Daphnia pulex: one gene and its partner. The main gene of each other region encodes a partner of the protein of the gene in region 2 in a complex. Links are inferred from orthologs where the notes say so. Each region holds a gene or a part of one and is shown on either strand. Other genes may lie near its edges.

Evidence for each region. Proteins that work in one complex are often made in the same cells at the same time.
Region 1: probable tRNA N6-adenosine threonylcarbamoyltransferase (region 2) and EKC/KEOPS complex subunit Tprkb-like share a complex: the UniProt entries of both Homo sapiens proteins name them as parts of the EKC/KEOPS complex. The link is inferred for Daphnia pulex from reciprocal best matches to the Homo sapiens genes OSGEP and TPRKB.

The regions. Positions count from the first base shown.
Region 1 is NC_060026.1:5,617,181-5,619,646, reverse strand, and holds EKC/KEOPS complex subunit Tprkb-like, read right to left. Parts: upstream 1,636-2,466; 5' UTR 1,499-1,635; coding exon 1,376-1,498; intron 1,317-1,375; coding exon 1,194-1,316; intron 1,119-1,193; coding exon 861-1,118; 3' UTR 806-860; coding exon of another isoform or gene 651-805; 3' UTR 614-650; downstream 1-613. Other genes in the region: peptidyl-prolyl cis-trans isomerase-like 1, read left to right, coding at 1-8, 126-259, 317-406, 510-578, 651-805; GPI transamidase component PIG-S-like, read left to right, coding at 1,880-1,916, 1,983-2,225, 2,298-2,466. UniProt on the Homo sapiens protein: Component of the EKC/KEOPS complex that is required for the formation of a threonylcarbamoyl group on adenosine at position 37 (t(6)A37) in tRNAs that read codons beginning with adenine.
Region 2 is NC_060019.1:5,073,974-5,077,056, reverse strand, and holds probable tRNA N6-adenosine threonylcarbamoyltransferase, read right to left. Parts: upstream 2,240-3,083; 5' UTR 2,056-2,239; coding exon 1,941-2,055; intron 1,865-1,940; coding exon 1,785-1,864; intron 1,712-1,784; coding exon 1,570-1,711; intron 1,503-1,569; coding exon 1,129-1,502; intron 1,045-1,128; coding exon 972-1,044; intron 920-971; coding exon 864-919; intron 796-863; coding exon 631-795; 3' UTR 589-630; downstream 1-588. UniProt on the Homo sapiens protein: Component of the EKC/KEOPS complex that is required for the formation of a threonylcarbamoyl group on adenosine at position 37 (t(6)A37) in tRNAs that read codons beginning with adenine.

The DNA.
Region 1 (2,466 bases), on a different chromosome or scaffold from region 2:
CAAACCACGTAGGCTATACTTATTATTTTTTTATGAATACCACTGTGAAAGATAAGATGTTTGTATGTATATTTTAATATAAAATCTGCTTGTTTGGTTACCATCTCTAATATCTGACCTTGTAGGATGGGAGAAATTGCTATAGAATTGTACTGGAACCATGCCCCCAACACTTGTAGAAACTTTGCTGAACTCTGTCGTCGAAATTACTATGCAGGCACTAAATTTCATCGGATAATCCGAGATTTTATGATCCAAGGTAATTAATTGAAAACTTTTTTTTCATTGATTATGAATTAAGTTAAAAAATTTATAGGTGGTGATCCCACTGGTACTGGAAGAGGAGGAGCATCTATATATGGACGTAATTTTTCTGATGAATTACATGATGAACTGAAACACACAGGTAATAATTACAAATAAAATAAGTAATGGAAACAACATTCAGGGGCCTGAATGACACACATTCAAAGGAAATGACTTTTAACTTTGTGTGTGTTTAACAATAGGCCCTGGTATACTGTCCATGGCGAATTCAGGACCAAATACCAATGGATCTCAATTTTTCATAACACTAGGTATTTAAAAAAAAAAATTAATAAACTTTGAATTCCTACATCAAATGCAAATTTATTTTATATTTATTTTAGCTCCAACCCAATGGCTAGATGGCAAGCATTCCATTTTTGGGAGAATTTATTCAGGCATGTCTGTTGTGAAAAGGATTGGGTTTGTAGAAACAGATAAAGATGACAGACCAACTGATGATGTGAAAATCGTAAAATGTACAATCAAATATGAATGAATAATACATAATTGATCCTGCTTCTAAATCTAGTTTTACACAAAAAATATTAGTACTATGTAGCAATTTCTTTTGTCGAAATTCGGTTAATTATAGCATCCAATAAAGAAACAATTTTTGTTTCTTCTTCTTTGATTTTATAAATTTTCCTCAGCTCATTTTCATCACATGTTTCAAAATTGTCTTGGGTGGGTTCTGCCAATTCTCCTTTGACTTTAGAACAGACAAGTTCCATATCTTCTTCATTAAGTACCACACAAAGAAAATATGTATCTTTATCATTCATTCCAAATATTTTTAAGGAATCTGTAATCTGTTCCAAGCATTAAAAATAATTTCCATATTTAATAAAGTTTGCATGCTGTACAACTGCACATTAAAAAAATACCTTTTTTGTTGGGGACATGTTATAAACAATTTCAGAAAACACAGAATGTGTTTTAAGGGTATGACTTTGATGGCTCATCACAGCAAGTTGGGTGGCCACTAATACTTGAAAGGTGTCCAATACCTAGCAGTCATAAATTTATATTCTTCGTCAAACATAAAATTGAAAATTGAAATGCATACATATCTAGGATTAATTGCAGCGCAAGGAAAGCTAGCTTTCATAATCCTTTCTCGAATTTCACTTGCATTGGTTACATTTTTAAAAAGTAACAACTTGGGCTCGCATTCTTTAAATGCCCACATTTTATTATTGTTTGCTCAAATATGACTAAATAACGACTAAATATGGGAGTCACGAATCGGTAAATTTTTTTATTTCAAAACGTGTTCTGACTGCTGCTGGTTCCCACAGTTTATAGTCTGTCTGCTTCAACCGGCTGTATGTAACCTGGCTGTAACACTGCAAGACGTTGTCATGGCAATTATTTGCAGACTAAAATGCGACTTCAAATCTTCATTTCAGTAGACACTACATCGACTACAGTAAACACTAAACAACAAATTTAAGAACCTGTACGTTTGATGGTGGTCCTTTCTTATTTATTTATTGAAAAGTGATTTGAAAAATTCTTGATACAATTTTCTTTTTTGGTTTAGGTATAAATATTTCCACCTTTTTTAAAAATGAAGGGCTCCAATAACAGCTCTCTAGATAGGCAAGGTAAATGTCAAAATTAATTTACTCTTGATTTACTTATGATTCAAACTAATGAAAATAACTGTTTAGATAGGCATTCTCATCCAATTGGAGCTGCATTAACCTTCATTGTGATACTTTTGGGTCTTGGAGTACCAGTATGGTGGAATACCACTACTGTACAAAGAGCATCTTTACCACTGGAAGAACTGTCCACTATGGCTAAAGTGTCTGGGAGTGAACAAAGTATCCCTATTTTATTAAAAGGCATCAATGATGCTGAAATAATGGCAAAGAAACTGCAAAGTGCACTAGTTCAGTCCAAGGACCCATGTAAGTAACTAAAACAATATAATAAATGTTTAGATTTGAAGATTATGTTAACAATTTTCAAAATTTTTTTAGTAACTTATAACTTCAGTATTGTTCCATATAAATTCAGCCCTGAAGAAGTAAAAATTTTGTTGTCACAAAAGTCAGTTGATGCCATAGACATGTACTTTGAGGAACTATCTGAATCAGAGTTTATTAACATATTATCAATTGTTGAAGTACCATCTAATTATTTGCCATC
Region 2 (3,083 bases):
AAAATAAAAAGCAAATTTGAGTTGCGATCCCCTTGATTTTGGATGTTGAACGCCAAACCTCAAAATGACGCCACAATTTCCTCCAACATGAAATCAGCGAAAAGGATGTGGTTGTAGGCCTAACTGCCGTCGTGTAAACATAACCTTGATCAGTTGATCGCCTTTTCATTCAGCGTCGAATACTCGTGGAGAGTCAACGGCGTATGTTTTTGTTGACTTTTCTTTTCTGTCCTCTTACCTGATTGAATACCATACCCGTAATTTCAACAAATATTTTAGATGTAGCTAATATAACAAAGTGGGCCTGAATGACTTGGAAAGAAAACATTTGGGCACAAATTTGGTCGGCATTCAGTCCTGAACGTTAAGGCCTGAATGTCGGACACCCTGATGGCCAATGTTCTGGTAGAGGTGGGGGATATAGTAGGGTGGTGTCATGTCGACATGCCGAGCATACCATAAACTTTGATTAACGCAGCTAGTTTGTTTAGGCATTTTTAAAGTTATTATTGTTTTATTATTCATCTCCAGTTTACCTCCACTTCATCTATTCTATATCGTTGCGTGCAAAATGGGCATAACTTTGTCTTTGATTAACGCAGCTAGTTTATTTAGCCATTTTAAAAGTTATTATTGTTCATCTCTCCAATTTACCTCCACTTCATCTGTTCTATATCGTTGCGTGCAAAATGTGTTCTTCCAAGAGGTGACGGCACCAACTCTAAACATTTCTGCTCCGGCATGAGCTATCATGGCCCCGTTGTCTATACAAAATCTTTCATCCGTTGCAAAAACCTTAAAAGAAAACAGAAAAGCCATGAACAAAATTTGTTGTGATAAAATTACACAATGATTCAACAAACCTTAGCTCCTCGTTCCTTGCACATTTCAGACATCATTTCTTGAAGTCGAAGATTACCTAAAAACAAATCCTTAGATGACAAGAATAATATAAAGAAAATGAAACCTACATCCAACGCCACCGCAAATCAACACTTCTTGCGATCCACAATGCGCCATTGCTCTCTCGGTTGTTTCAACAAGCTATAAATGTACATAAAAAAGAAACGGAAGTATTCAATTGGAAATTAAATGTAATTTTAGTTGCAATGATTTTGGCATGTGTACCATAGCAAAAACAGTTTCTTGCAGTGAAAAACATAGATCTTCCACAGAATATTCTTGTAAAGTTGCAGCAAAATCTTCAATGTGTGTCAAGACTCCAGAAAAAGACATGTCCATCCCTTTGACAATGTATGGCAATGGGACATAAATTTTCCCATTTTTTGCCAACTGCTCAATATTGTGCCCAGGGCTTGGATAATTTGACAATTTAAGAATTCTGGCAAATCTATCCAAGCAATTCCCAACTGCAATGTCTATTGTTTCCCCAAATATTCTATAACGTTTCTGGGAGTATGCAATAATTTGAGTATTCCCTCCACTAACATAGAGAACAATAGGATTTTTTGCGCTTGTGATTAATCTTGCCATTTCTATGTCTGCAATAAATGGAATGATATTTGAGTCCAACTAAAATTAGCAATATAAAATTTAAGAATTAAGTACGCCCGATGCAATGATTGACACCAATAATTGGCTTTCTCCATAATTGTGAAATTGTTCTTGCAAACACAGCTACAGACACCAAAGGAGCTCCTAAGCCAGGTCCTTTGGTGTAACACACCACATCAATTTCTTCTGGATGAATCTGAATTATAAATGATTTATTTTTTTGGAAGTGAAATACGAGTTTCTCACAGTCTAATTAAAATGTATCAAACCTTAGCTTCATCCAAAGCTTCTTTCAGTAAGAGGACAATATTTGACTGATGATGAATTGCAGTATCAACAGGTTTAAAACCTATAATAAATGTCATAAGTTAAAAAAAAACAATACGCATTATTTTTCGTGTTTAGAACTTTTGATGTAATGAAACCTTCTCCAGGTGGTGTAATAAATGTTCTCCTGGGATTTGCTAAAACAATTCCATCTTGAATTATTCCAATACCCAATTTATTTGCACTACCTTCAAAACCTATCGAAACAACCATATTTCAATGAATATTTATAATATGGAACCTCAGACTAGTGCAACTTTAAAAAAATGACTACAATCGTCGCAAGAGCGTGTCAGATCATCAGAACAGAAGCTGATGTATAGTTATTAGTTAGAGTAGTCCATGTGTAGAGAGTCAGAGAGTACAGACAGAGTCAGAGCAGTCAGCAGACGACAGCGCTCCAAGGGCGTCCCTAAACTGCGAAAGCGAAACGCGAAACGCGAAACGCCTAAAATGCGAAACAGCTGTGCGAAACGGACCCAAAAGTTGGGACCCTGTTTCGCATTTTAGTCTTTGGGTCCGTACTAAACTGCGAAATCGGTGTTTGCGAAACGTCGCAGTGCAAACGTCTTGGTAGCAGACGACAATGGACGCCGTCAACAAAAAAATTGTTAAGAGTTTCAAATTTTCGAGACTTCGAGTTTCGCGCACCTTATGGCTGGTCTATTTGTGTGTTGACTATGAATACGGAATACCTTGAATGCAATATGCAATAGGTGTTTTTAATTAGAAGATTGGTATAAAAAAATTTATGGAACTTCTCGTTTCCATGTATCAGTATCAATCAGATTAACATTCTTAATTTTAAGGGAAGTTTTAGTTGATTAAATTTTAGCTTGATTTGGAACATGGTAGCTTTGATTTTTAGCTTGATATAAGGCACTCATACTGTTATGACCGATTATTTCTTTGTGCACGTATCTACTGGTTGATTAAAATTATTTAATGTAATGTATAATCCCTGGGCCATTACCTAATATTTTATTATTTAAAAATATCACCATATCGTGCTGCTCTATGTCTTTCATTAGTTTAATAATCGTAAAATGCGCATTAAAACATACAGGGGTAGTGGCGAAGAAATCGAATTTGATTGCCCCCCTTCCTCCTTTAATGCCTCATCATAGCGGGAGACAATGAAAAATGGCGGCAATCTCCGTCAATTTGGACCTCTGTGGGGAAAAGGAAAACTATTTGTTTCGCAAGATGTTTCGCTCTTTAGTATGCCCTCCGGCATTTGG